Rhinolophus ferrumequinum: one gene and its partners. The protein of the gene in region 3 purifies or fractionates together with the protein of the main gene of each other region. This does not show direct contact. Links are inferred from orthologs where the notes say so. Each region holds a gene or a part of one and is shown on either strand. Other genes may lie near its edges. The genes, in order: CABIN1, UBN1, ASF1B and MCM6.

The links.
Region 1: the proteins of ASF1B (region 3) and CABIN1 purify together in Homo sapiens (affinity purification with mass spectrometry; 3 studies listed by BioGRID and IntAct, counting the BioPlex papers as one, with this or other methods). This does not show direct contact. The link is inferred for Rhinolophus ferrumequinum from reciprocal best matches to the Homo sapiens genes ASF1B and CABIN1.
Region 2: the proteins of ASF1B (region 3) and UBN1 purify together in Homo sapiens (affinity purification with mass spectrometry; 3 studies listed by BioGRID and IntAct, counting the BioPlex papers as one, with this or other methods). This does not show direct contact. The link is inferred for Rhinolophus ferrumequinum from reciprocal best matches to the Homo sapiens genes ASF1B and UBN1.
Region 4: the proteins of ASF1B (region 3) and MCM6 purify together in Homo sapiens (affinity purification with mass spectrometry; 4 studies listed by BioGRID and IntAct, counting the BioPlex papers as one, with this or other methods). This does not show direct contact. The link is inferred for Rhinolophus ferrumequinum from reciprocal best matches to the Homo sapiens genes ASF1B and MCM6.

What each region holds. Positions count from the first base shown.
Region 1 is NC_046308.1:22,513,625-22,520,505, forward strand, and holds the start of CABIN1 (calcineurin-binding protein cabin-1), read right to left. Parts: upstream 3,004-6,881; 5' UTR 2,563-3,003; intron 1-2,562. Other genes in the region: DDT (D-dopachrome decarboxylase), read right to left, coding at 5,171-5,243, 5,694-5,869, 6,224-6,331. UniProt on the Homo sapiens protein: May be required for replication-independent chromatin assembly. May serve as a negative regulator of T-cell receptor (TCR) signaling via inhibition of calcineurin. Inhibition of activated calcineurin is dependent on both PKC and calcium signals.
Region 2 is NW_022680357.1:5,961,208-5,969,134, reverse strand, and holds the start of UBN1 (ubinuclein-1), read right to left. Parts: upstream 3,011-7,927; 5' UTR 2,949-3,010; intron 1-2,948. Other genes in the region: GLYR1 (cytokine-like nuclear factor N-PAC), read left to right, coding at 5,105-5,142, 6,170-6,206, 7,148-7,227. UniProt on the Homo sapiens protein: Acts as a novel regulator of senescence. Involved in the formation of senescence-associated heterochromatin foci (SAHF), which represses expression of proliferation-promoting genes. Binds to proliferation-promoting genes.
Region 3 is NC_046301.1:47,878,728-47,886,623, reverse strand, and holds the start of ASF1B (histone chaperone ASF1B), read right to left. Parts: upstream 3,007-7,896; 5' UTR 2,697-3,006; coding exon 2,588-2,696; intron 1-2,587. UniProt on the Homo sapiens protein: Histone chaperone that facilitates histone deposition and histone exchange and removal during nucleosome assembly and disassembly. Cooperates with chromatin assembly factor 1 (CAF-1) to promote replication-dependent chromatin assembly.
Region 4 is NC_046291.1:82,500,728-82,508,655, forward strand, and holds the start of MCM6 (DNA replication licensing factor MCM6), read left to right. Parts: upstream 1-4,927; 5' UTR 4,928-5,053; coding exon 5,054-5,160; intron 5,161-7,928. UniProt on the Homo sapiens protein: Acts as a component of the MCM2-7 complex (MCM complex) which is the replicative helicase essential for 'once per cell cycle' DNA replication initiation and elongation in eukaryotic cells.

The DNA of each region.
Region 1 (6,881 bases), on a different chromosome or scaffold from region 3:
AAAGGGAATGCTTGTCACTGTTGGTGGGATTGTAAATTGGTACAGCTACAATGGAACACAGTATGGAGGTTCCTCAGAAAATTAAAAACAGATCATATAAACCAACTATTCCTCTACTTGGAATATATCCTAAGGAAACAAAAACACTGTATCGAAGAGATATCTGTGCCCCCAGGTTCGTAGCAGCATTACCTATAACAGCCAAGACCAAAGTGTCCATCAACAGATGAATGGACAAAGTACAGATATACAATGGAATATTATTTAGCCATAAAAAATAAATCCTGGCATTTGCAACAACATGGATGAACCTTGAGGACATTATCCTAAGTGAAATAAGTCAGACAGAGAAACACAAATACTGTATGATCTCACTTATACGTGAAACCAACAAAAACAAAAACGAAAAAAAAAAAAAAACTCATAGAAAAAGAGATCAGATTTGTGGTTACCAGAGATGGGAATGGGAGAGAAGAAATTGGACGAAGGTAGTCAAAAGATACAAACTTCTAGTTGTAAGATAAATACGTACTAGGGGTGTAATTAATGTACAACATGATAACTACAGCTAACACTGTTGTATGGTATATTTGAAAGTCACTAAAAGAGTAGATCCTAAGACTTCTCATCACAAGGAAAGTAGTTTTTTGAATCTATATATGATGCATGTTAACTAAGTTTATTGTGATAATCATTTCACAATATATGTAAGTCAAATAACTATGCTAGACACCTTAAACTTATACAGTGCTTGCTATATGTCAATTATATCTCAATAAAACTGGAAAATTTAAAAATTTTTCTTAAAAATCCAAAAGGAGTCAAAAGACAACTGATATGTTGGAAGAAAATATTGGCAACATACACCACAAAGAACTAATATTCCTAATATATAAAGAGCTCTTAAAAACTGAGGGACACAGCATTATTCACAATAGCCAAAATATGGAAGCAATCCAAGTGTCCTTTGACAGATGAATGGATAAACAAAATGTGGTGTGTATATACAATGGAATATTATTCAGCCTTAAAAAAGAAAGACATTTCAACACATGCTACAACACGGATGAACCTTGAACACATTATGCGAAGTGAAACAAGTCAGACACAAAAGGACAAATACTATATGATTCCATTTATATGAGACACCTAGTATAGGCAAATCCAGAGACAGAAAGTAGAATGGTGGTTGCCAAGGACTGGGAGAGGGAAGAATGGAGAGTTATTGTTTAATGGGTACAGAGTTTTAGTTTGGGAAAATGAGAAAAAGTTCTGGAGATGAATGGTGGGGATGGCTGCCAACAATGTGGATGTACTTAGTGCCATGGAAAGGTACATTAATGTAAATATAGCTTAAATGGTACATTTCATGTAAAGTGTATTTTACCAGAATTTAAAAAAAAAAAAAAAAAAAAAAAAACCCTGAGGGCAGAAAAAGAAAAACCTGATAGAAAAATGGGGAAAACATACGAGCAATTTACCAAAAAAGACACACACTGGCTCTCAAACATATGAAAATATGTTCAAACTCACTTATAATTAGAGAAATGCAAATGAAAACAGCACTGAAACACCATTTGTCACCTATCACTGGCAAAAATGAAAGTACCACAGCACACTCTGTTGGTGAGGTTGTGGGGAAACAGGAACTATTGTTATACATTGTGGATGGGAATGCAGCTTGGTACAACCCCTTCCGCAGGGAAATTCGACGACAGGCAAAATTACATATGCAATTGCCCAGCATTTCCACTTCTCAGAAATCTACCCTGAAGATTTACCTCCAACAACAGGAAAATACGTATGCACAGGGTTATTCACTGCAGCATTGTTTGTAATTGCAAGATATTGGGAAAAACCTAAATGGCTATAGATAGTAGAGTGGATGAATAAATTATGGTACATGCACACAATGAAGCAATATACTACTAAAATTAAAATGAAGGTATGCTCATAGCAGCATTATTCATAAAAACCATAAAGTGGAAACAAATCAAATGTCCATCAACTGATGAATAAATAAAATGTGGTATACCCATACAATGGAATATTATTCAGCCATAAAAATACTGACAACATGGATTAAACCATGAAAACAGTACACTAAGAAAGCAGTCACAAACCACATATTGTATGATCCCCTTTATATGAAATGTCCACAGGCAAATCTATATAGACAGATAGAAATATTTTTATATTTACAACAAAAGTTTGCCAACTCCAAACGAGACCACTCTAAGGATATTTTAGTTCTAACTAGTTATTAATCACACACAGAAGGAACCTTTCGCCGCACGGAATCCCAGTGCCCCATGGTTACGACCTCTAGTAACACTGGTCCCAAAGAATTACGTGGCTCCCACAAAGCCACTTGTGCAGACAACTGCGAGTGTCAACTCTATCTAGCCCGGCCAGGCTGCACCAGGGAAACAGTGCAGTTAAGATTTTTCAGTCTGGAGTCGGGCTGACCCACTGGTTTGCTGGGGGACTTTGGCCAAGTCACTTCACCTTCTCTCGACCTCAGTTTCCATTCCTGTACATGACGCTGATAACAGCACTCACCTCGCAGGGCTGCAGTGAAGGTGAAGTGAAAGGACGCGCGCGAGTCAAGGGTTACGCCGGGCTTCGCACCGGCAAACGCCGAATCAATGGTAGCTCCAGTTGTTGTCACTGTAAACCACTCACGAGGCCGGAGCCGGTCCTAGGTACCCCAGGGCGGCGGCAAAAGCCGTGAAGAGGCCTGCGGGGCAGCCGGGAAGCCTGGCCTCGTTGCTCCCGCTCTCCGGCCTCGGTTTCCCCTACTGTAGCACAGGAGCTACCCAGAAACCCCCTGCGTCCACAGTAGCCTCGACCCTGCGCCCGCAGGGCCTCAGGCCCGCGACCCCGCTGCCGCCTTAGGCTTAGCAGAGACCTGCCCCCACACCGAAGACCTCTCCCAAACCCGTTGCCCGGGAATTCACCAGGCGTCTCCCCGGCAACAGCCCGTCCGCCCCGACCCCCGCACCAGCCGGCTGCGCGCCTAACAACAAGGAGCACTCCCATTGGCTCCGGTGCCGGCTCCGCCAGCCAATCAGTGAGGGCGCACGCGCCGTTCTCCTGCTGGCCGGCTACCAAAAACCCTGCGGAAGGCGTCCGACGCGGTCCGGAGCAGCCTGGTGTAGGGTTGCGACTTTTCCGGAGTGTAGGCTTCGTTCCTTGTGTCGTTGTGGCTCGGAGCGCCAGCTTGCGATCGGACTTTCGGCTCCACCACTTGTACTACTTGGAAAGCGCCGAGCTCGGGGCCTGGCCCCGAACGGTCGCTAAATGACGGGCCGTGTTGTTGGTACAACCGGAGGCAGGTGCTCTGAAAGCAACGGAAACTTGGGAAACACGAGGGAAACGGTTACGACCCTTCCCCTTCACATTCCTTGCCTCACCTCTTTCTGATAAGGATTTGAAGCCCGAAAGGCACAGATAACCATCAACTATTGAAACAAAGGGGAAAAGAAACCAAGACCTGGTAAATGAATGAGCTGGAGAGACAGAATTCCAGAGCCCAACTCTGAAGGGTTTCTGACAAGGTCTCGGGCTGAGAGAGGTTACTCTCTTGGGAGCTAATAGTTATAGAGAAGGGCTTCACACTGGTTGAAATGCATAGCTACTTGAGTCCAGCAAGAATGGCTTACATAGCAATGAATGTTATAGCTTTCTCTTTGACCTTAACGACGGTAAAATCACTGTGAAGCACTCATAGAGTCAGCTCCATACAATAAAGCTTCACTGATATGCCAGAAACTACAAAATAATTGAGTCATCAACCTTGATTTTGACAGTATAGCCTTGGGGGGCCAGGGACAGTGAACAAAAGCATAAACAAATGATTTTAAAGTTTCATGGATAACATGCAGGCTTGGATGCAGGTCCCACTCCTAGGTTGTACCTTGAAAGATGTGTGGCAAGGGTTTGGACGTGAGAAAAAGTGCAGGCTACCCAGGGGCTGGAGGCAGCATCGTGTCACCAGGGTGTAAAGCTCAGGGTCAGAGTGGGGAGAGATAATGCTGGAGGGGCCAGTCCCCACAGCCAACCGATGACATCATTCTCATCAGAGTGGTAATAGATTTAAGGTGGAGAGACCAGCTAGAAGGCTATTACCTTATAGTCCTGTCAAAGGTGCCTCTTTAGCCACGTTAACTATTCATTCACATTCAACCCACATTCTCGGAGCCCCTCAGGGAAGCAGGACTCCCATGTTGGCAGAAGGAATAAATGCAGAAACAGTTGGGACAGGTTGCCAGGGGAAGGAACTCCAAGCCCTAGCTTTTAATGAGAGTTCTCAGCAGTGGTCTGGTCCAAACACAGCAGGCAGAGGCACCTTCCATTGGAAACTAACTTAAATGAGACTGAAAAAAATCTCAATTTGGTATTTCACTGGTACACCAAAGACAAGGGTGAAACACAGTGCCCATACAATGTTTATCCTCTGATATGTGAAAGCACGATATGGTATTTCGATGGGGGAGGGAGATCCCTTTCATTCAGTTTCCAGTGGCAGACACTGCATTTCTAGGTTTGCCATTCTGGGGCATGGGTTTCACATAGCTAGAGAATTCTCAACAAGACTCATGGGAGAAGATGGAGCTTGGTAATGCCAGGGAAGGTCCCTGAAGCCCAACCCGCCTGGCTTCCCTGCCAGGCAAAGCAGTCTATGGGCAGGGAACTGCCCAGGCCGAGGACAGCAACATCTGGTCAGCAGAGTCTGCAGGAAAGCCCAGGCTGTCAGCGTCTCCCCAGAAGCCTGCACATGGGAATGGAGAGCAGGGCCTTCAGCATGAGCCCTCCACCCTCTGATTTGAGCAGCCTGAATACGATACATGAAAGAGCAGCCCTGAAGTTAGGAAACATCCCACCTCCCAGGTTCCCTAAGGTCCCCACCTCATAAACCAACCCTGCTCCCCAGGGTAGCCCAGCATGCGTTGGAGGGGTAAAGGGAGATAAAGAAGTCATGTTTGAAAGACAAAGCTCTTTTCATTTATTTGGCATGAGGATGGGGAAGAAGAGGACTGTGAGATCACAGGCCTGTCTGCATGTGGGGGTACCAGAAACTGGAATCCACCACGCCCTCACTCTGCCAGGCAGGCCTCTCGGGACGAGGTGGCCAACTCTCAGATGCCCTGGATATCCTCCGTGCCAATCACAAAAAGGTCATGACCGTCCCCTTCTTGCCAATCTGCCAGGCCTCCAGGGGGAAAAAGCGGATAACTATCCTTCAGGAGACAGAAAAAGATGTCATCAGCTCCTTGGCTAATGACTCATTCCAAGACTCATAGGCTAGGCACTCCCACCATGGGCTCCCAGACCAGCCTGCCTTAGCCCACCAGGCATTTTGCAAGTCTGCCTCACCCCATTAATGTTTTCCCCAGAACCCCCAACAGGGCAGCAGGCATGTCAGGGGCTGGATGGTGTCCGTACAGCAGCGTGGCCCACCCAGGACCACACTCAACATAGCCAGGACTGCATTCAATTCTGCTAGCAGTCTGAAGGTGGACCCACCACTAGGGGGCCTCAGGGGTCAAGGGACTCCAGGGCACTAGAGCTTTCTTGGGCAAGGTGAAGAATTTACTTTTTGCCCCAACCTTAGAAGGGACCCTGAGACAGGATCACTGCCCCCGGTCGTGCAGAAATCCCTCGAGTGTCCTCTCCCTGCCTCTACGCACCGGTCCTGGTCCAGTTTCAGCTCCTTGGTGAGGAACTCGAAGAAGCGGGCGCTGTGGCCGCGGTTCTCCTCCGCTGTGCCCACCACACCGATGGAGGAGACAAGAAGCTGTGCGCAAGGCTCGGCCGAGCCGTTTACCGCCATGGCCAGGCCAGGACGCACGGTCACGTTCACGCGCTGCAGGGGACACGAAAGTTTCACCAGAAGCTGATGCAGGCCAGGCTCACGCTCAGGGCCCAAAAGCGTGGGATCGAAGACGCGCGGACCCCGCAGGGTCAGGGTTAGGGGCATGGACTGGGGTCCTTGGAGGGCACGTCAGAGTCATGGCTAGGGAAGGCAATACCGAGCGGGTGGGGGTGGGGGTGGGGGTGGGACTGAGAGATCATAGAGAGCGGAAGGTCAGTTTGGCGGGTGGTGGGCGGGGGCCCTTGGGAGGAGTCGGGGTCTTGGTAGTTAAGTAGGGGCGTGGACAGAGCCGGACCCCTGGTCCATCAACCTCCCCCAGCCGCGTGCTCCCCGGCCCACGCTCACGTCCTCGGGTTTGGCCAGGATGGCGGCGGTGGCCGCGCAGAGCCTCTTCTCCAGCCCCGCGGGCACGCGGCCAGCAGGCAAGTTCGTGTCCAGCTCAACGAACGGCATGTCGGCGGAAAGATGGCTAAGGTGCCGCAGCGGAGGAAAAACCCGCGGAGACCAGGTCGGTGTTCCCAAGACCGGTATTAAGGAAAAGGGCGGGGCGCCGCGGAAACCGAGCTCCTCATTGGCTGTGCAGGCACACAGCACCTACTGACTGGCTGCCTAGGCTGCACCCCTCAACCGCTGCAGACAACCTTCGTGTGCTCTGGCACAGATTTCCGGAAGTCCTAATGCCCCGCCAGCCCGGTGTAACCCCACCCCCTAACGAGACATTGGCTGAGCCCTGGCCGCACCAGCCCCGCCTCCGATCCAGCCACACTGTCCGACGTTTTCCGTCTCCTGTGGCTTTCCAAAGTGGTAGTCTCCTGCTGCCTGTCCCAAATTTAGATGGAGGTCTGAAAAGCGCCCCCTTCACACGCAAACACACCTGTAGGGGCCCTCCCTAGGATCTACCTTAATAACGTTACATCGTCAGAGAATTAAAATTTTTTTGAATGAGTTGCCACCACTTCAGGTTCAGTATAAAAACGTGTGCTTCTCTTGATCAGGAGACCTG
Region 2 (7,927 bases), on a different chromosome or scaffold from region 3:
GACAAAGTTTTCACCAGCTCAGAGTAATGCCTACCCTGGGCATTGTCTTAGGAGTGACGTGGCTAGGGCTCACTTCCTAATGCACCAGCCTCTCACCACGCAAACTTGGGCCTCGACCAAGCGACAAATTATCACATGCCAAAGACCTTCAAAGTTGCTTGGAAATGGTCAGCTTATATTGTAAACTCCAGAATTCCAAGGGTTTACAGAATATAAATATGCGAATATACTACATATACACATGCATATGTATTTTGTGCTTCATGTATGATTTGTGTCCTGCTTTTTGAAACTGACATTCTAGTGTGAATGTCTTAGCAGGTAAAGTCTGCATGAGGTAAAGGTTGCATGAGTGTACTGAGTTTGTGAAAATCCATCATGCTGTGCACTTATCATATGGCTTCAAAAAGGATATTCATTGCATCCTTGTTTGTATAGGAAAAATGATAAAAGCAACCTGAATGTCCAGCATTAAGGAAATGGTTGAAAAAAATTAAGTCTTTTTTGTTCATTTTTAAGGGCTTCTGATATATTGTAGATATATAATATATATTACCTATGTAACATTTGTCATATCTCTTACAAATGCATTTTCTTCATTGTTATTTTCTGTTTAAGTTTGCTCAGAGGTATGATGAAAGAAATTTTAACTTTTTATGCAGTAAACTAGGCTCTTTTCCCTTATAATTTCTCCCATTTCTTTTGTGCCTAAACTGTCCTTCTCCAACCAGGTAATTCGTATGTAAGAATTTACCTAGCCAGTCTTTTATAGATCTAACTTTCACGTTGAATTTACTCTGCTTATAAGGAGAGAGGTAAGGCTCTAACTTGGTTTCTTCCCAGCACCAGTCACTAAATAATTCTTCTTTGCCCTGCTGATTTGGTATATACTATGTATAACGTCTCAGATATCTTAACTCTTTTGCTGTGACATTCGGATGTGTTTTCCTGTGGCTTGCACTATCAACAACAAAGATGTTTTGTATGCCATATTGTGTAACATTTTGTAATAAATTTTTATGTCATCAATGCCATTAGATTCTAATATATCTATACTTATATCTAATTGATACCACTTAGTATGCTTTGAGTGGTTTTTGCTAAAATTAAAGGTAATGATAAATTTATCACCACATAATAAATGTTTAAAATAAAAATGTCATTTATGTACAAAGCAGCTCAAAATGTTATTAAATGCATAAAATAGTCAAAATATCAACTTTTTATTTTTTGTGGATTTTTGACACATTTTGGGGAAAAAAACCTTGAAATCAATTAACACAGTGAGAGTTAAGGTCTATTTCTGAAATCCATCCTATCATATTGATGTAGTAGCTAAACATTCCTTAACCAGTACCATATTGTTTTAAGAAATTTTATGGTATATTTTAACATCTTGATTTTAACATTCATCTTTATTCTTCTTCTTTTAAAATACTTGGCTATTCCAGCCTATTTATTATTTCAGATCAATTTTAGAATCAGTTTGACAAGTTCCCAAAAAACTCACTGCATTTTAACTGTAAATGAATCATAAATATGAATTCAAAAAGATTTATATCATATATTCCCATACATATATAAAGATATTTATATAGTACACGCAATTCTCATTCTTTCCATTGTGACGATAAACTGTGATCTATAATACCAGACAAAGGAGTAAAATATCTAAAAATAGTTAAAATAATGCTAATGAGGCAGCAAAGTGATTAGCAGCAAAACAGGTTGGTGGTGCAAAAGACCATCGGGCATTAAGACGTTGAAAGAAATTCCTCTAAAGGAAACTTTCGAGGCCCCCAGGACATTTGTGATACACTTGGGTTGTGAAAATAAATTTCAGCTAAAGGTTGAAGGCTTGAAAGTTACCCTCATCGATAAGACAGGCAAAGTCTCACTATAAAAAGAGAATCTGCAAGTAACCGATGGGATACAGGAAGGTCATCCTAGAAGTGACAACCAGGTTCCTGCCCCAATCCAGGCAGTAATTTTAAAATATACCCTTATCCTGGCCCAAATTTTACACTTGATCTTAGCCAAAAGGCCAAGAAACGACCTGGCCCAAATTTTAGACATTGTAACTTCAATCCACCTAGATAGTAAAACTGCTTCCCTTAGTTGTTTAAGTGACTTTGCAGGCCTGAGAAGTTATAGATATAATACTAGAGAATCATGTAAGTCAAACCTATAGCCTTTTAGATTTTTAGTCATCGTGATAACTGCTATTGCTTGTTACTAGGCCATTAGAAACGTTTAAGAGATTCAGACATATTAATGTCTGACGTCAGACTTACAATTTTAATTTGAAATCCTTAAGAAAATATAACTAGGTTCAAAAATATTCTTTTAAAAGAATCTTACCATTATACATTTATTAGCCTTACAAAAGCTAAGTCCTTGGAAAGATTTTACTATTTGGTTTATAAGTTCCCTGTTTTAGAAGTTTGAAGTATTAGAGAGAACAAGCATTTAAAACTTCAAATGCAATTTAACACATTTAAGGGAATTTAACTTTGTAATAAAAAGCTTATTGTTTAGGAAAATTTAATCTGTTAAACTGGTGCCTTAATTGAAGCTCTGTCAAAGATGAAGTACTTCTGTTTTTACAAAAACATTCTTAGATTTGTAAATGAAACAAGATTTGTCAGCAAAATTTAAAGCCTTAAGAAAACCTAAGGGGGCGCCCTGATGGCTCAGTTGGTTAGAGCAGGAGCTCTTAACAAGGTTGCCAGTTCAATTCCCACAGAGGAATGGTGAGCTGTGCCCCTGCAACTAAAGATTGAAAACAGCGACTGGACTTGGAGCTGACCTGCGCCCTCCACAACTTGACTGAAGAACAACGACTTGACTTGCAGCTGATGGGCCCTGGAAAAATACAGTTCCCCAATATTAAAAAAAAAAAAAATTATTGAAAAAAAGAAAACCTAAGTATTTAAATACAGGCATACCTCAGAGATACTGCAGGTTCCGTTCCAGACAACCGCAATAAAGCAAGTCGTAATCTTTTTGCTGGTGGAGGGTCTTGCCTTCAATTTGTAAAAAACGCAACATCTGTGAAGGGCAACAAAGTTAAGTGCAATAAAGCGAGGTATGCCTGTACTCACCTTTAAGGAGTTAAACCTTATTCTAAGCACAGTATTCTACAAACAACATCCCTTTTAAAAACCCTCAATTGATATTACCCAAGAAATGCTAGCTTCTTTTTGTATCTCAGATTATTCCCAGGAATGATATATTTTTTTGTTGAACGTCCTCTCAATTACTGTATTTTCAAGCTAATTATTGGTGAAACATAGAAAAACTGAATTTTGTATGCTGAGTTTCTAATTAGTTTCTTTACTGAATTTCAAAATAGGCTTTTTTTCAAAATAGGCTGTCCTATCATCCACAGAAATGAGAATTTTGTCTCCTTTCTGAAAAATGGTGTCTCGTTTTTGTTTCAGGTCTTACTGCATTGGCTAGAACTTACAGGATAATATTAGACAATATATTCTTTGCCATGTTCCTGACTGTAACGGGAATGCCTCTAGGCCAAGTGTGAAGTTAATTTAAAATTCACATTTTTTATCAAGTCATTAAAATAACCCTCAATCCTCAAAATTTAAGAGTTTTAAAATCAGAAACATATGTTGAATTTTATGAAATTATTTCCTGGAATCACAAATGTGCTTTAAATTATCGGTTGGTCTTTGAAACAATTCAAGACGGTAAATGACAGTTCCTAAAACTGACAGTACTTTAGGGAAACTGAATTCCAGTGAAAAACCAGCTGTGGACAAGCCAGTTCGCTAAAACAAAAACAAAAATATCCCACATACAACCAAAGTCTCCGTGTAACAAAACGCCTAAGGGAGATAGATGTGTGTGGACCTGCAATCTTTTCAAGCAGGCGGCGACTCAAGAAAAGTCCAGTCTAAGTTAAGTCAACACTTGACTTAAGAGTCCTTGAGGTCTGTAATTGGGAATGGGACTTTTTGAAAATGTTTATTTTCTAGCAGGAATCTGACGTTTGGGCAGTCTCTGTGAACGGTTCCTAGTTCCTCATTCAACGGCTTGTTTTCACGTATTGAAACTACGCCTGGCATCCGCCTCCCTGTTGTCACAACAACCTGCTCCTAACTTCTCCAAAAGTGTCAAACTACAACTCGGCTTAAGTGAGAGCCCGGTCCCGACAAAGACACGCACCTTTGTCCCCAGCGCGACGCAAGCTACGGCCCCGCGGGCCGCACTTGTCCCCCCGCGACCGTCCTCATGCCGGCCCGGGAGCCCGGGCTGCGGCGCTGCTAGCGGCCGGTCCCGGAGCCATGCCTCCCGGCGGGCGGCCAACCCGCGCCGCGGCCCATGGCTGGGTCCCCGCGGGCCCGGGGGAGCCTCGCTGGCCGTGCCGTCTGCCGGCCCAGGAGGAAGTGGAGAGACTCTGGCTCCACGTCGGCCGATCAACTCGGAACCTCGAGGCGGGCTGCACTGGCGCCCCGGGAGAACTTGAAGCGCGGACACGGGCTCCGGCTCGGAGCCGCTCCCCGGACGCAGCTGGCAAAAAGCGCGCTCTGAAGGACCCGTTCGCCCCCGGGCGCGGCCACGCAGAGCCCGCCGGGCGCGGGACCCCGGGTGCGGGGCCCCGGGCACGGGCGGAGGCTGGCTTCCAGGCCGCGCCGAGGTCCGTCAGGGTAGCTGCCCGCGAGGCGACGCGGCCGGCCCCGGGGCCCGCGCGGGACTAACGGCCGTAACGGAAGCGCCGTGGGGGAGGGGAATGGAGACCAGGGTCCGGAGGCGGGGCGGGTCGCAGGGTCGGCTCCTTTGCGCGCTGGACCGGCCGCACAGCCGCCGTCGCCGCCGCCTCAGATCCCGGGCGCTTCGTTGTCACGAGCCGAAGGGAGGGGAAAGGAGCCGGGAGTCTTTCGGCTCCAGCGCGCGGAGACCGCGGCTCCCGCGTCACGTGCCGCCTAGCCGGCCAATAAGCACCGGCGGGCGTGGCGACGTCAGAGCAGCGGCGTGGCCGATGACAGCCGGCCCCCGTCACGTGGCCGGACTCAACCCAATGGGCGGCGCCGGGGCGACCTGAAGTTCCCGGCGGCCTGTGCGTCGGTGGTGGTTGGGTGGTAAGATGGCGGCTGTGAGTCTGCGGCTCGGCGATTTGGTGTGGTGAGTCCGGGCGTCCGGGGCCAAGCGAGGTGCGACGGGAAACTGCTCCTTTGGGCGCGGGGTTGGCGGACAGCCCCGGAGCTGCCTTTCTGGGCGCTCCAGGCCGCGGAGAGAGGGCGAGACGAGGTGCCGGTGCTGGGAGCGACGCCGGGCGGAAGGGGCAGCCCTGCCCCGGGGGACTGAGGCCGAGGGTGGCCGCGGCGGGCCGGGCTCCGAGGCCGCCCGGGAGAGAGCTGAGCTCCGGACCCGGACGCCGACGGCTACTGTGAGGGGCATTTCTGGAGCCACCCGCGGTGCGGGTTCCTCGGGGTCTTGCTGGGGTTCCCTGTAAAGCGGGGGAGCCCTCAAGGCCATCTCGCCCCGGCAAGCCCGTTAAAACCAGCGTTGCAATGGAACCGAACTCTGCGGGCGGCTTGGCCAAGGGTGTCGAAACCGGACTGATGGCGCTGCCCGGTGAAGAAATGGAGAGGAGACTTCTTCTTTACAACCGAAGGCTTGGCAGTGATCAGTGCCGTTTTGGGTGCCTCTTGTGGTCTTCTTCTGTGTCCCAGACAACCGCCCGAACCAAGACTGACTGTCGCCGCCTCGGTCGAGCTGCGTAGCTTATTTCTCGACCCAGAGGAAGGCTTCCATTAGCATTTGGCAAAGCCAGCTGGTCTCGCGGTGAATTAAACCAGACTTTGTAAGGGGAAGTCTGTGTTTACAGAGCAAACTGGCCCCCACCCCCGTCACGGGGAGGCTCTAGACAAGTGGCTCTTGGCGGTTTTGTTGTTCTGTATCCCTTGTCACCAGAAGAATGTACATACTTTATGCACATAGGTATACAATTTTGCATTCCATTTCTGAGGAGTTTGGGCCTGTTGAGTCCAACTGGGGAAGCCAGATTAAGAACTCCTGTGTGCCAGCTTTTGTTCTGGCACTTGAGGATGCAAGTGGAGATTTAGGAAAATAAATTGCATGTTGAGTGGGTTGAAGAAGATGGACTGGCTTTTCCAGGGCAAGTGCTGACTCTCTGTGTTTTCTCTAGGGGGAAACTCGGCAGGTATCCTCCTTGGCCAGGAAAGGTGAGTCTCTTGCTACTGAACTAAAGGAAGACATCTGAAGTTGGGTTTGAACAGGTGGAGAATGTAAGATGCATTCCCTTCAATTTCTAGCATTGAGTTAAACTGCCTATTTTAAGTAACAGAATTTTTTCTTCTGGAACATCAGTTCATTTAGAAAAGGCAATATAATATAAACCAGATCACTTAATCTTCATTAAATGCTTATTTCTTGAATCAGAGATGGTTTTGTGGAGGTTTTTAACCCTGGAAATCAATTCTAATTTGAATTTAGCTTTACACTTAAATCTAACGAAAGGAGAAGAAAATAAATTCTCCAGGAAGATAGAAATCTAAATGTAGACTAGTGAAAAGTCAAAGTATTTTTGTCCCAACTAAGTTTAAATCTTCTATGTTACCATATGTGCTGCTCCAGTGCATCTTTGCAGAAGTTGGCATTTCAAATTTTGCATGAGGCGATCCGTCATAGCTTTCCAAATGTTCTGTTTTTATATTCTTGCTAGGAGCCCAGGAAATGTCTTTAGACTGTCTCCTTGCAATATGGTATTTTCAGTGCTTCAGTTGCCTTTCCTTGTCACTATTACCTGTCTCAACTCTTCCTTCACAGAAGTATTTTTAAAAGTGTCCTCTACATTTCTTCAGTGATGACAGGGTCACATGGGATGAGGGGATGATATTTGTCTTAGTTTTAACTGCTTTTAAAACAGGGGCATTGCAGTAAAGGAATACCGTATCTACTGAACGATGTGCCACATGTTAGATGTAGAGAACTTTGGAATATTTGTACATCTCCACACATCTCAGTAGAAAAGTGCCAAATTTGGATACATACTAGGCGCTCGGTTTTTTTCTTTTTAAGACATTTCTTTTGTTTTATTTGATTTTTTTTTTCTTACCAACTTAGAATGGTGGGAAAAAACCTTTTTTTCCCTTTTATCCCCCAGATTGTTAATCCACCCAAGGACTTGAAGAAACCTCGTGGAAAGAAGTGCTTCTTTGTGAAGTTTTTTGGAACAGAGGATCAGTGAGTAGTGCTCACCAAGAGTTTCGCTTTCCCTTTGTTTAGGCATTGGCCTGGGTCTGAGCTGCTCTGAGAGTATTCTGTGGACCCTAGTTCAGTCCTACTAGGTAGTCTATAAAATGGCATCATTCTGGCTTCATACCTAAAGAAAAGGTGCTATTCTTACCTTGCAGAAATTGTCCTGGGGCCAATAACAGTGTCAGTCAGGTGAGAACTAGGGCTCACCACCTTCTAAATATAATAATCACATTGAGAGTTTCTCACACCTCTCTTGCCAACTCCATAGGCAGTTCCTCCTATAGGACCAATTTGGTTTCCCATTTAATGGCTGTTTATCAGTGTGGCTCATGCATGAGCTAGACAGTGAAAACTAAAATTTTATTTACCTTAATAAAAGTAATTGTTTAATCTGTTTTCTTTTGGGAAACTAAATGACTTGCTTTAATGTTGTAACATTTAGCTAGCCCTGTCCTAGAGTTGAAATCAGAATCGTTAATATGAGATTCTTTGATAGGCCATATAAGAAATCACAGTGTGGGGAAGAAGGTATTTGCTTGAGATTCTGATGATTTGTTTCGCGTTCCCATCACTACATCAAGTTGATTACCTAGTTCTAGCTAGATGGTTTGATTTCTTTAAGTAGTTGTATTTCTGTTTATGATTCTTACAGGAAAATGTAATTTTGGGTTAGGAAAATGTGACT
Region 3 (7,896 bases):
AAAGAGAGCAAAAAGACCTTGGAGCCCTTGGGAAACAAGGTCAGCTGATTGACTGGGGGTTTGGGTGTCTTGTCAGATCTTCAATTGCCAGTGTCGAGATGATAAGATTAAGATTTCTCCAGGATCTGAGAGACTTCTAAAGTCAGGCCCACTCATCTTTTTGGGAGACAGGCAGGAAACTAATTCTTTCTGCTCCATGGGAAGAGGGCCAGGAAGAAGTAGAAAGCAAACTGGCAGGTCAGAGTCACAGAGAGCCCTAAGAAGAACAGAGTCTGGATTTCCAGGCTAGAGTTTGCTTTGCAACTCGAGTTTCTCTGAGCAAAATCTTTATTGTCTGGGTGTAATTAATAACAGGACACCCTTTGCTCTCTTGTGAGAGTGTCCTGATGTGGAAATAAATTCTACGATCAGTTCTATTTATGTTCCACTTCTAAAATAGAGGATGCATTCTTTCTTTCCCAGGTTATAGCAGAGATAAAAGAACCCTGGACTAAGAACTCAGAGAAAAGCCCTAGTATCAATAATTCTGCCAACCAGCTATGTGACCATGGAGTAGTCATTCTGTTTCTATTAAAAAATAGTGACCAGCAGGTTGATTTTGGATCTTTCCTACTCTGATTCTAAAAACAAGTTAGTAAAATAACAGAGCAGGGGCTTCATAGGAATAAAAGTATTAGAAAATGACCACATAACCATTTTAAAATGCAAGGAGCACAAGCAGGCTGATTGAAACCTGATCTCCTGCCATGTGGGAACTGTGAATCCCTTAATCTATTAGCTCCTTACATCTCCTCCTGGCTTTAAAATTAAATCTTATTCCAGTGTGACATTCTACACTTTATTTATTTATTTACACCCTGCCTTGTTCCAGAAAGGATTTAACTGTACTTATTCTATAGTTAGCCACAAGTAGACTCTGTAATTTAAAAAGGAGAAAAACCAGGGAGACTGAGCCCAAGCACATGAATCTCAAACTGTACCAACCCCAAACTAATCCCAGGGGCCGGCTTTGCAGGCAAACCACCCACCTACCATCAAGAGGCGCTAGTTAGTACACCCTGGCCTCACAGACCACCTCCTCAGCTGTTGCCTCTTTTCTTTAACCCAGTGAAGTGGTCTAATGGAGTACAGGCATACCTCAAAGACACTGTGGTTTGGTTTCAGACCACCGCAATAAATTGAGTAGTAATCTTTTTGCTGGTGGAAGGTCTTGCCTTTAATTTGTAAAAAATGCAACATCTGTGAAGTGTAATAAAACAAGGTATGCTTGTGCTTGTACTTCCTCTTGAAAGTGGTGCTAACACTTCCTGGGCGACCTTAGATTTTTGGATTTTTACAGATCTTTCCTTGCGAGGTCTGTCACTCTTTGTGGCTCCTGTCTTCTCATCTGTGAGATGAGAGCCATGTCCACCTTTATGTCACACAGATGAATAAGTACATCAGTGAAACCTTGGAAAAGATGCCCCAAAGGTTGTGATCCCCCAGCTGATTGCTTGAAGTTGGGTACCATCATGGCTCAGCCGGGCCCACATACCCTCCAGACTAGGTCAGACCATCAGAAGTGCCGGAGGAACTATGGCAGTAGGTCAAGCCGAAACCTGGCAGGCAAACAGTGGGAACTGGCTAATGCCTGGCTAGATCATCCTTCAGATTTGAGTGTGTTCATCGAAGTACACAGTCAGGGAGGAGGTAGGAACTGGAGCTGGGGAAACCAAGTTATCCTCAAAGACTGGAGCTAGAAGCCAGGCTATGCCTCCTCAGGTGGAGCTCAAGAATAAAGGGTTGGGGCCAGGCTAAGGAGAAGGGAAGCCAGGTTCTAGGTTACGTACTTTGGGGTAGAAAACAAGAAGTGAATGGGGTTGGTTAAATATCAGCAGGTTCTGGAGGGGATTATTGGGAGACAATGGGGAGATGGGGGTGAGTGAGGTCTTGCCACAGGAGAGGGTCTTCACAGGGAAAAAGGGTCACAGGAGGGGCTCCACTGGGAGGAAAAGGAGGGAACTTGAGGGAGAGGCCGCCACAAGGAAACTGGGGGAGGGGACTGAGGTTTCCATAAGGGAAATGGGAGGCTAGGGTTTCCGTATAAATAAAAAATGGGAGGCTGGAGGTTGGAGTCTCCATAGGAAAAAAGTGAGGCAGGAGTGTCTCACCACAGAGAGGAGGGGATGGGTGGGGGAAGACTGAGTGGGTGGAATAAAATAGAATTTTCTACACAGAAATAGGTGGGGGGTTTCTTGCTACAGGGAAGATGGGGAGGCTGAGGGTGTCCGCAAGTTAAAGAATGGCGGCGGATAAGGTCTCTACATAGAAAGCCCAGGAGCTCCACAGGAAGAAAAGGGAGCGAGGGAATGATGAGGTCTCCACGGGGGGAAACCGGAGTAACTGGGTAAGGGGGTCGGGTTGGCCGTGAGGTGGGGGTGGGAGGAAGTCTCCACGCGGAGATTGGGGCTGGCGGGGAGGGAAGTGGGGAGATCAGGGTTGGGGGTGTATTTCGAGGTCGGTGTTGGCCGCGGGAGCCTCTACGAGGAAGTCGGGTTGGCCAGGGGAACGGGAGAGGGGGGGGGAATCCATACAGGCCCAGCCTCACCGTCCGCCAGGGCCTCATTGCACTCGAAGCTGATCTCGAACCGGAAGGGGCTGTGGAAAGGGCTCGGATTCTCCAGCACGGCCACATTCAGCACCGACACCTTGGCCATCGCCTCGCCAGGCCGCAGTTCAAGCCAGAGCTGGGGCGGAGCCCACGGCTGGGTCCTGTCGGGTCAGCCGGACAGCGATGCTCACAGACTACCGCCTCCTTGGTCTGCCGACTGAACTGCGTATCTCGCCCGCGCGCCTCCTTCAAATAGCCGGCCGCACCCTCCGGCCAATCACCGTCAACGCTCCCCGGCGGCGCAAGCACCCCCTTAACCAATTCTGGAGCGCCGGGCGGCGCGCGCCGAGACTCCCTGGGCCAATCCGCTGAGCTCCCTCTTGGGGCTGCGCGTGGGAGGTGAGACCATCTCGGCTTTTTTGGGTGTCCGCCGGGAACCAATCCCCAGCGTTTCCGACTCGGATATCAAGGGCGGGGTGGGCGGAGCCAGAGCCTGTGTTCCTCTCAGCCAATGCCGAGAGTTCCCGCACCGGCGTGGCCCGCCCTTCGCCTCTCCCTTCCGGGAGACGCTACAATTCCTGAGCAGCGCCGCCAACTGCCGAGCGGTGGCGCGCGGCGCTAGCGTAAGAGGGCGGGAAGGGTGGTGCTCGAGCCAGCGGTGATTGGCAGGTAAGAAAGGAGTAAAGCAGCTTCTGTGAGATGTGATTGGCTGGGTTAGCCTCAGGGGGCGGGAGGAGAGGAAGACTCGGCTGGGGATTCGTGGGAGAGGAGCGGAAATAAGCGGCGGCGCGGTTAAGCGGGGTGTGAAGAGAAAGGAGAAGCGTTTGCTGCTTTGGCGTCTGTCGGCAGGTGATCGTTATCTGGAGCTTCTCTGAGGGCCTCTTGGCCCCTCAGGCCCAGCGGCCGGGGAGTTCGTTGTGAACGTTGTGAACGTTTGACTCACCCCTGAGGGGAGATGGAGCGGTGGTAACGCGGCGCTGGGGCGCGGACCCGGGAGTTGGCCCCAGTTCGAATCCCGCTCTCGTCCCTTCGAGGGCCGCTGGGAGGTGTCAGGTGGACAACGCTATTACTGGGAGTTCGAGTCCGGCCTCAGCCACTTAGCTCACGAGGCCACAGTTTCCCTGCTCATTGAACGAAGCCGTGAAAATTCATTGACATGATTCATGGTACATCTAGAAACTTCTCTCCACCCACATGCCGAGCTGGAGCACCGTTGGTTGCCTGGAAGACTCCAGGCACCTCAACACACACCCTCTCTGCTACCACCCACAACTAGTGGAAAAATAATTCGAGCCACATGCTTAATTTACATTTTTCTAGTAACCACGTTAAAAAAAGTTTTAAAAAATATTAACTTTAATATGTTGCATTTAATCCAGTATAAACAAAATATTATTTCAACAGGTGATGGGTGTAAAAAATACAAATGAGACAGCTTACATTTTTTACTGGGTAGTAAGGCTGCGAAATCCTGGGTGTTTTACACTTATGAGTACAGCTATGTTTTCATTAGAAAGAGTTGGTCTGGCTTTAAGTTTTATAAAACTTAACAGTTGAAAATGTAGATTCACATGTCCAAGCTGTTCCCAACATACTTAAAAGTTTTCCATGAGCTCAATCACATGCAGGTTTTTAAATTGAAATGTTAATTGATTAAAATTGAGTGACATGGAAAGTTCTGTTTCAGGGTGGCACTAGCTATTTTCAGGTGCTCATAGCCCCTGTGGCAAGTGGCTACTGTATTATTATTGGACAGTTCAGGTCTGAAATTGAATCAGTCATCCTCCTGCATATAACGTGAGTGATTTTCTATCGTTCCCAGGAAACTATGCCCCCCCCACACACACCCAATCCTACCCTTCCCTGGCTTCACTTTAATGGTAAATGGAAATTCTAGAAATAAACAATTCATAAGTTCTAAATAGCGCACCATTCTGAGTGTTGTGAAGAAAGATGAAATCTTGTACTAGCCTGTGCTATCGAGGAGGTGAATCATTCCTTTGTCCAGCATATCATAGAGACCCCCACATTCACATAACTTTTATTACAGTATATTGTTATAATTCTATTTTATTATTGTTGTTAATCTCTGACTGTGCCTAATTTATAAATTAAACTTTATCATAGGTATGTATATATAGGAGAATATATAGGCTTTGGTACTATCCAGGGTTTCAGGCATCCACGGAGGGTAGGTCTTGGAATGTGTCCTCCTCTGGTAAGGGGGCACTACTGTATTGTCTTTAAGACTACATGCTTTGTTTCCCACCAGCCCCAGCTTCAGTCTAGCCAAACTGACCCCCTCTTTGTTCCTTAAAAATCTGACATGGCATTCCCTGCGCAGAGTCTCTACCTAGAATCTGTTCTCCCAGTTCTTGGCATGGCTGGTGCCTTCTTGTCATTTACGTCTCTCTGTTCAAATGTCTTGTCAGAAAAGCTTTACCAACAGTCCTCTGGACAGTGTTAAAACTCACAGAGAGTAAGCCTGAATAGACTGGTCCAAGTCACTAGCATTTCTTATCTAGCAACTTCTGTGGCCTCCCTAGAATCTTACAGCCTCATAATGCTAGGTATGTTTTTATAGCTACATCTCAAGTAAAAAAAAAAACAAAAAAAACACAACTTTTTTTTGCATTTAAAAAAATTGAGACCTCTCCCCAAAAACTATTTGGCTACAAGAAAATTCACATTTGTAATGCCTGTGATTTCTTGGCAACCATTGGGCATAGTTGCAAGTTTTTGTGATTCTAGAAAATCTAATTTTCAAATTATTTTCAAATGTAATTCAGTTGCTTATGAATACTAAATTTAATGATGAATAAAGTTGCCATAATGTTACATTTTTCTAGATGTTTAATTAAACAGTTATTCATTCCAACTTTGTAGTTTTCTTTTTACATTGTGGAACTTTGTTTCCCTTTATCCCTAGCCCCAACCTTTTCAGCTGATTAGCTGAAAAGCTAATCAGCCACAAGCATTATGTCTGTGGTGCCAATGAAAAAAATGGCCCTGTCTGTAATGCGTTATGCGTACAGCTGGCTGAATAATCTTCAATTGTAAACCAGATCATGTTATTACCCTACTTAAAACCTTCAAAAGGCTTATCATACTTAAAATGAAACTTAAGATCTTTACTGTGGCTTAGGAGGCTCTGCATGGTGGCCTTAGCTGACCTCTCAGGCCTCATCTACAGTCTCCCTCTTGTCACCACTCTCAAGCCCAACTGGCTTTATTTCCTGTCTTTCAACAAACCAAGCTTATTCCTGCTGTAGGGCTTTGCACTTGCTGTTCCCTCTTTCTGGAATCTGCTTTCTTCAAATAATTGCATGGTTGTCTCATTCAAATCATTTATGGTTCAACTCAAATGTCAAACCTTCCTGGACCACCCTAGTTCAAGTTGCCCTTCCTTAATCACGTCACCCAGTTTTATCTTAGGGGCACTCAGAATCTGTACTTATGTTGGTTTTAAGTTGTGCTTGTTATTTCCCATCATCCCTCAGTAGACTGAAAGGTTAAGGGCAGAGCTCTCACCTGCTTCATGTTGACCTCTCAGTGTATTTCTAGAGGTTGGCACAGGGCCTCGCACATAGAAAGTCTTCAGTAGGTTTTTTAAAAAAGGATAAATCCATATAAAGGGCTTAGCATAGTACCCGGAATGTAAAAAGCACGCAATAAACATGAACTGTTATATATAATAAGCAGGTAAGTCTGTATTCTCCTTATGTAATATTTCAGGTGCACACACTTGAAAAACTCTAAGAAATACTATGACAAAATACACTTTTACTCATTACCCAGCTGAAGAAGTAAAACATTAGTGATGCATTTGAAAGGCCCTTTCTCAAACCTGCTCCTCTCCCGTTTTCCTCCAGTGTTACTGCAACCCTGGATTTGGTGTTTATTTTTCTGTGCATGTTGTGCATCTTTATATGCATGTGTCTTTTATTGTAGTGTGTCATGTTCTACAATTTTATATAAATGATATCTATGCAAAAAAGAGTTAACCTAAGAGGCCTGAGACAGCTATTCTTAGAAAGGCCTATTGGCAAAGCTGGCCTTTGGCTGGTGTCTAGGAACTTGGATTTTAGGAGGGTTCCCAGCAGTCTCTAAATGGTAAGAGTGGCTTATGGTGCTTAAACTATTTGTACAGTGTGGTTTATGTTGAACACCTGCTTTCTTTCTGAAGTCTGGAATTCTGGTATTTGACCAACCCCCAATAAGTACCTTAGCACTGAGCCTCTAATAGGCTTCCCTGGTAGACAACATTTCACACGAGTTGTCACAGCTCTGCTGCAGGAACTAAGCGCGTCACATTTGACACCAGTAGGAGAGGACTCTTGGAAGCTTGTGCCCGGTTTCCTCCAGACTTTAGGCCCCTTGTGCCTTTCCCCTTGGTTGATTTTGCTTTGTACCCTTTTGTTGTAAGAAATCATAGCCATGCATACAGTTATATGCTAAATCCTGCGAGTCTTCCTAGGGAATCATTGAACCTGGGGGTGATCTTGGGGAACCCTGACACAGTATCATACTAGATAGATCCTGACAGGGCTGGAACTAGGGTAAGGCAAGGAAAGCACGTAGGGCACAAAATTTAGGAGGTGCTCACTCTCAGGGTCGCTCAAGTGTCCAATTTGCACTTGTATGACCCTGAGGGTAAGTACCTCCTACAGTTTTCACCCTAGGCACCTAACTTCCTTCACTCTAGACCTGCCCTACCGTCTGAAACTTGCTTTTTTTTGGTCCAACATAATGCTTTTGAGATTTATCCATGTTGACACATGTATATAGCTCTAATTCATTTATTTTCACTGCTGCATAGCTGTGCTATCTGATGTAGCCAGTAGCCACATGTGGTCATTTAGATTTCAATTAATCAAAATTAAATAAAATGAAAAATTCATTTCCCCAATCACATTAGCCATATTTCACATGCTGGATAGGCACCTGTGGCTAATGGCTACTGCATTGGACAGCATGGACAGAGATCACTTCCATGATCACAGAAAATTTTGTTGGACAGTGTTTATGTACCCATTCACCTCTTGGTTAATATTTAGGTTTCCAGCTTTCACCTGTTACAAACAGTGTTGTTGTGTATGTCTCCCTGTGCATACATGCAGGATTTTCTCTAGGATACGAACCTAGGAGATGAATTGCTGGCTTATGGGTTATGGGAGTATTCACCTTTGCTAGATATTGACAGTTTGCTCTTCAAATAGATCATCGTGATTCCCACTCCTACCAGCAGTGTTGCTATTGCTCAGTGTCCTTATCAACACTTCGTATTATCAGACTTTTACGTTTTT
Region 4 (7,928 bases), on a different chromosome or scaffold from region 3:
ACAAAATGTCCTTCCAGATATGACTGGATTCTGGTGCAGTTCTAAGTGAATGCTCCTTTATTGCACACATCTGTGTGAAGCAAAAGACTTCTCCATATTTGCCTTTCGAGGAGGAGGAGTGGGATTAGCTAAGGCCAATGTTCTTGGAGAGAGAAGGGCTATATGCAGGGAAGCTGCCAGCCTATCTGGCGCCCCTGCACAACTTGGAACAAAGTTCTCCTTACTCCAGGGTGAATGGCTGGCTGGTAGAGTCGGACTGGATTTCAGCAGCCCCTGACCCTGCCTACCATACGTGGTGACTCCAGCCATATAAGTGGAAGAGGGAGCAGCAGGCCTTCCTGGAGTGAGACACTCACATATTCTATCACAGAAAATGAGGCCTGTGTAGTCTTCCCCTCTTCTCCTGGGTTCTCAGAGGGAAGGAGTAACTGCTGACTTGGGTGACTGTCTCTCTCCTTGCACCTCTGCTCCAACAACCCATGGTTTCAAGTTCCAAAACTTATGTCAAGAGTCTCTCTACTCACACAGAGCAGAGCAGATCTCTCACAGTCCACTCTCTGTTTGCAGGCCAACTTAGCAAGAGTTCTGCCACTCACTCTGCTTCCTCACCTCCATTCATGCCCTTGCAGTCTCACTTCTACCCCTTTCGTATTCCTGAAACTTGTTCCACCATGTTCAGTCTCTATCCTCCTTGACAGCTCTGCAGCATTCACCATTGACAACAATTAGTTCTAGAATCTTCTCTTGACTTTTCAGGTTCTCCTCCTATTTCTCTGGTTATAATTTCCCAGTCTCTCCCATGGCATTTTCCTTCTCAGCTTCCCGTTAAATGTTGATATTCCCCAGCGTTTTATGCTTGGACCTGCCTTCTTCTTTTTCTTCAGATGCTTTTTGAGTGACTGCATCTACTTCCAAAACTTCCCCACCATCTCTTGTGAGGATTTTTCAATCTGTTTCTGCTGCCCAAATCTCTCCTAAACTTGAGAAGAAAAAAATCCTGTTAATTTCAACACACCTTTGCTTATCCAATTTTTTAAATAGAGTGGTTTCATTTTATAATGTTCTTGAAATATGTTTTGCTCAAAACCTTGGAGCTGAAGACTTAGGTTATTCAATGTCTAGAAAATGTCCACCACATAACCCACTTAGTAAAGGTTGTTCTCATTGTAAATCAATCAGATAAATCACACTTACTGTTTTGTTAGGAAAAAAATAATCCAACTTTGTTTTTCAGTTCAAACAAACATGGTAATACCTGTTTCAAGAAATAGTCTAAAAGCCACTGGGAGACAAAATATGGAACACATTTTGTAAAACTGATGATTATAAAAGCAATCAAATAAATATTAAAATCATACATATATAAAATATTAACTAATCAATTTTTATAATAGCTGTAAAACACAAGTAAAATTATATGCAGTTTCTCATTTCTTAATTAACAATATAATGTAGGGTACAGTTAAAATGATGTTATTATGAATTGAGAAGTATTATGGAAGTTTTAAATATTTTTTCAGTACTGTGTGTATGTAATTCTGGTATTCAGCTTTTTGAAAAAATTAAATAAGTATTATATAAAAATAGGTAAAAACTGCCATCAATCCTACTGCTCTCTCCACTAATTTGATAGACATCATGATCAAACTTCTCATATTTTTAAGTAACTAAAGAGGAAGACAAATGACTAAAAATACATTTAGTCATTTATTGTTAAAAGTAATTTATCACAGCTAGCATATAATTTTCTTACTTTGTTAATAAGAGGTAGGATATGTTAAATATTTTGTAAGATGAAGATTAACCGTGTTTGGAAGAAACTTTTTCTAATATGATTTGATAAATATCTTACTGAATATTGCATATCACCTAAAATAAATCATGTAAAAATTTAATCTGCTGACTTTATTCAAAGTAAGTTGAAGTGTTAGTTAGGAAAATATTAGTTAGATTTAAAAGAATCAGTATCATCAACCCATACTGCTACAGCTGTTTGAAGGAATTTTCCTTCTAAGCCAAACATACGTCTCAGGAAAAAGAGCCTTTCTGTTGTAGAGAGTCATTCTGAAATAGCTACATATGAAATGATACGGTATCTAGGATTTGCTTCAAAACTATAAGGGAGTGGTGAGAACTGTGCTTTGCCTCTGTGCTTTACCTCCCAAAGCACAGTCTAAGCAAAAGAAAAACATCAGACAAATCCCAATTGAGAGATGTTTTGCAAAATACCTGAGCAGTATACCTTAAAACTATCAATGTCATCAAAACCAAGGAAAGTCTGAGAAATTTCAAAGAGCAGAGGAGACTAAGCAGACGGGACAACTCAATGTAATGTGGTGTCCTGGATGGGGTCCTGGAAAAGAAAAAGTACATTAGAGGAAAACTAGTGAAATCCAACTAATGTATGGAGTTTAGCTAATAGTACTGTACCAAAGTTAGTTCTTTAGTTGTGACAAATGTACTACAGTAAAGTAAAATGTTAACAGTAGGGGGAAATGGGCACAGAATAATGTATGAGAACTCTGTACTATCTTTTGCAACTTTTAGTATCTAGATAATTTAAAATAAAAATATTAAGATAATAACAATGTAGAGGGAAAAGTAGATGGAGTGTGTGGTTTGGACAGGATTGGCCACACGTTGATGGTTATTGGGGTTATATAATGGGAGTTCATTATATACTATTTAGACTATTATAAAATAAAAATGGCGTTATTTTATTATTCTACATTTGTGTATGTTTGAAATTCTATTATAAGAAGGTTAAGAAAAGAACATATATTGTGTTGGGGGTCCACAAAACCATCCTCAGTTTCAATGATTTGCTAGGACTCGCAGGACTCAATATATAAAATTGTACTCACAGCTATGATTTGTTACAGCTAAAGGGTAGAAGATAAAATCAGCAAAGGGAAAAGGTATATGGGACAGGCAAAGTCCAGAGGAAACTAAGTACAAGCTTCCTAGAGTCCTCTCCCTATGGACTCATATAGAACGCACCAATTTCTCCCCAGCATCAAACCATGACAGTACACATACCACATTTTCTACCAGGAAAGCTCATTAGAAAAGCCCAGAGTTTTTCTTGGTGCTGTTCAATAGGCACTGTCTACCTAGCACATATCAAGATTCCAAATACTACTCAGAAGATGTTCAGCACAAACCACATTGTTTGTACAAACGTTTTAGGCACAGTGAGCCATCCTTATCATTTATGGGAGGTGTCATATGATACCAGTGTAGGGAACTCTTTACCAGTCAAGCTCCCAAATGCTAGCCAGTGCTCAACCTTGCAAGCAGGCCCTTCTAAGGACAGCAGTCTCAGGCCTACACACACACACACACACACACACACACACACACACGGAGGCGTACAACTCCTGGGATATAGCACAGAGCTGCTTCATAACCCACACCTTCCTCCTGAGGTATCCCACAACCCTCACTTGGAGACCTCATCTGCTATTCTGGTCCAGAGGTGATGTCTGAAGGTGGAAGAGAGGACCTGTGAGGTGTGTAAGGTTGAAAAGAGGAAGTCTCAACTTTCTCTCAAATGGGCATAGCTGCAAATTAGCCTGTAATTCTACACTCTTGTTCTTTGCTTTTTTTTTTCCTTTGGTATGTGGGACTTTAGTTTTGAGAAATCTACCCCGAGAATAGAAGATGAAGAGAAGGTAAAAAATGGAAAAGAAAAGAATGAGGCCTTTTGAGAGTATTAGGCAACCTGGTCAGCATACTACTCCTAAATATCTCCTGGATCCATTCCTAGTAGATGAGGGGTGTGAATAGCATGAAGCAGGGTGAGTTTGAGGTTCCTAAAATACATACAAGTAGTGATGTCCACAGGCAGGCAGATTCTGGAGCTGGGGAAGGGTTGAGGGATGGACACAGAGCCTCAAGGGTTCTCATCCTCTTCAAATGAGGTAATACATACAATCTCCCATCCATGACAGTACACTAGCAATGAGCATTTTTGTTAAACCTTGTGAATATCTTGTGAAGTGTGTGTTAAAAGAATTACTATAACTTCTGTCACCCTCTTTGACATTGAAAACATTTTTTTAATGTGCTGAAGGCCTCAAAAATTGAAAGTGGTCCAGGCTTCTCTTAAACTCTTGGAGGCTCAAGAAACAGTATCAGCTGTTGACACACATTTGTAAGTCATCAGCACCCAGATGTTAATTGAAGCCAAGGGACTGAAGGGAGTAGCCCAAGAGAGCTCCTTTATGGGAAAGGAAGGCTCTGGGACTAGAATATTTAAGGGACTCACTGAAGAAGACTTGGCGCTTATAAAGGAGGCTAAACAAGAATGGCCAAAGAGATAGGAGAAAAACCAAGTGAAACGAAGTCGGAGAAAGATGACCAAAGAAAGGGGAAGAAAAATCAGGAGGTCACAAGCAAGGAGTGCGTTGAAGAGAGCAATTAATCAACAGAGTCAAATATTTCGCTGATTTTCCCGGGTCAGCATTGCCAGCATAACTATGCCAACTCCCCATGCCCGGTACTGTGTGTACATCCATGTTCGCTCTTTTAATGTTTTACCCTGGTTTACAGTTTATTTCCTCCGATGAGACGGCCCAAGCTGAGGGTCTGACTCTTACTCATTTTTCTCTTCCATAAAGCCCTACGCTTACTGCTCAATTAATGTCAGTGGAATGATGTGAAGAACATTTGAAAAGCCACACAAACAACGATATGGCCTTTTTAACATGCTCTAGAAGCCAGATTCCCCAGGACCCAACCACACTGCGCAGACGCACAGGCAGACACCCCCCCACACACACACACACACACCCCGTTTCAGCAGGTTTTTGCTTTTGGCGCGAAATCCCCGCTTCGTGGGCGGGACTAAGGGAGAGGTCTCAGCGTTCTTCCGGAAAGTTTGGCGCGAAATCTCCGTGCTCCTGCTTCGCGATTGGCTGCGGCCGGCCCGGGCCACGACGGGCGGAGCTGCGGCGGCGGCGGCGGCGGTAAGCGCAAAGCCGCCGCGTCGGGGAGAGGCGACTCGTGGCGGCCCAGCGTGTCGGCGCCTGCCCCTCGGCGCTGCACAGCCATGGACCTCGCGGCGGCAGCGGAGCCGGGCGCCGGCAGCCAGCGCCTGGAAGTCCGTGACGAGGTGGCGGAGAAGTGCCAGAAGCTCTTCCTGGACTTCTTGGAGGAGTAAGTCCGCGGTCTGCCCTTTCTCGCCGAACTTCCCCGAGCATCCCCTCCCAGCTTTAGGAACCCGGGAAGCCCCGTGCCCGAGGGCAGGGTTAAGGTGTGTGGCCGGCGGTTGTTCCGGAACCGCGATCGCGCGCCTTGGGGAGCGGCCCGAGCCCCAGTTGGGGCTTAGCCAGGCCCCCGCTAGGAGCTAGGACCGGCTGGCTTGGTTTGCAAGGGTGAAATCCATGGCAAACCCTTCCTCAGGCTCTTCTTGTGCCCCAGGCTAAGCGCTTTACTCCACCATTCAGTCTTCACTACCTTAAGGCTGGTGGTCGTGTCGCCCCCGATCACCTGTGCGGAAATTGAGGCCCCGGGACGGTAAGTGACGTCCGGCTACGCCACGCGTGGGCAGGGTCGAGCGAGAAGCCGAACTGGCACTGGAATCATGGCAGACGCCCGAAGGGACTGCACAGCCAGGACCCTGGTGTTGGCACCCAGGTCCCTGGCAACCCGGGAGCCTGTGGAGATGAAAGGACTAGAGTGTTCCCTGTGGTTTAACGTGCTGGGGTGAGGGTGAGCCTTACCCTGCTTAGAAGTAGCTGAACATTCTCCTTTCCGTCCTTTCCTTCCAAACCCCGCCCCCCACTTCTTTTTCCGTTGCCTTCTGGGCTCCTGGCCTCTCGTACCCCCGCTCCCCGGTTCGATGCCACTGCGGCCAGTTAACTGTTCTTAGTGTAGATACTCACTTCTTTATTTGAGAGTGTGGATTCTGCTGCCTCGGGATGAAAGGTAAACATTTTGGAATGTCCTATGAATCCTTTATTTACTTGAAAAATATACATCACATAAAATTTACCACTTAAATGTACCACTGTAAGCTTTTTTAAGTGTAGAGTTCAGTGGCATTAAGTACATTCGCCTTGTTATGCAGCCATTATCACCATCCTTCGCCAGAACTCTTCCCAGACTGAAACTAGGCACCCAATAAACAATTACTCCTTTCCCGGCACCCCCTCAGCACCTGACAACCACCATTCTGTTCTCTGCCTGTGCGGGTGACAATACCTCATGTGCTTGGAATCATTAAGTATGCGTCTTTTTGTGACCAGCTTATTTCACTTAGCATCCATGTTGTAGCGTGTGCCAGAATTTCCTTTTTAAGGCTGAATAATATTCCATTGTATGTATATACCACATTTTCTGTGTCCATTCATATGTCCGTGGACATTTGGGTTGTTTCCACTTTTATTGTGAATAATTCTGTATTACAAAATTGTGATTTACTTAAAACCATAATTTATATTTCCCTACCTTCGGCAATGTTATTCTCTGCGTGACAGATATTCATCCTTCAAAGCTCAGTTAAAGATTCACACCTCCTTTGTGAAACCTGATAAACCGATCAGACAACACCAAACCTTTTTTCCCTTATGTTCCCAAGTTGCCCTTTTCCATTATATCTGGTAATATCGTTTCCAGTATCTTTACCTGTCAGCCACTTCATCTTCAAGGTAAATCCCATCCTTAACCCCACCTAGCCACCACACCACATTACTGAGGTCCTCAATGAATGTTTCATTTCAATGATATCATTACCTTCACTACCTTGCAGTTTACCATGCAGCTAGATGCTAGGGATGATGATGAACAAAACAAATAATCCCTGTCCTTCGTTGGGGAAAAAATGCTAACTCTCTTTAAAAATACCAACTTTGATTTGCCATTGCTTATGGAAAAAGTCCAAATTCTTCACAGCTCCTCTCTTCAGTTTCATCTCCCACAGCCAGCCTGTCATCATCCACCTTCCTTCCAGACCTTTTCTTACTGCCACGTACTTGTAGACATCTGTAACCAGTCTATCTACTGCTTGTTTTTCAGATTTTAAGTCTTTCCAGGCTGAATTCCAGTGCCACCTTTTAGATGCATGAAGCCTTTCTAGATGTTAGGTAGAATTACTTTATGTTCCCCTATCACATTTCTTGCACTTCCCCCATTTTTTTCCTTTTTTCTTCTATTATGGAAAGAACACTTACATGAGATCTACCCTCTTTACAAATTTTTAACTGCAATATATTGTTGAGTATAGGTACAGGGTTGTTGTACAGTAGATCTGTTAGAGTTTATTCATCTTCCTTGAGTGAAACTTTTTACCTGTTGATTAGTACCTCAACGTTTTCCACCTTCCTTCAGCCTGGCAATGACCATCCCACTTTTTGATTGTATGAATTTGACTATTTTAGGTGTCTAATGTAAGTAGAATCATTATTTCACTTAGCATAATGTCCTGAGGGTTCATCCATATTGACACATGTAGCAGAATTTCCTTTTTTAAGGCTGAATAGTATTCCACTGTATGTGCATACCACATTTTTTTAAATCATTTGTGATGGACATTTAGGTTGTCTTGTACCTCTCTTTAGTAGGAGTGTCTCCTGAGAGTGTCAACCCTAAGGCAGGAACAGCACTCATCTGCAGCTTCAGTTACATAGTGCTTTTGCAGAGTCGTTCAGTAAATCTTAACAGAGTTAGAACATGCTGTATTTGAAGGAGGAATTGATTTTGCCTCAAAACTGATCTGCATATTATGTTAAAAGAACGAAAAGCAAATATGTTTGTATGATACTTTTAGAAAAAACACACCAGCTTTATTTTGTGTGTATGTTCCCATTTTTCTGAGGTCTTGGGCAGTGAAGAACCTTATTTCTGTGTATTTTTATTCTGTTCGGTTTTTTCCCCCTTCTTCCGCCTCCCCCGCCACACACACACACACACACACACACACACAC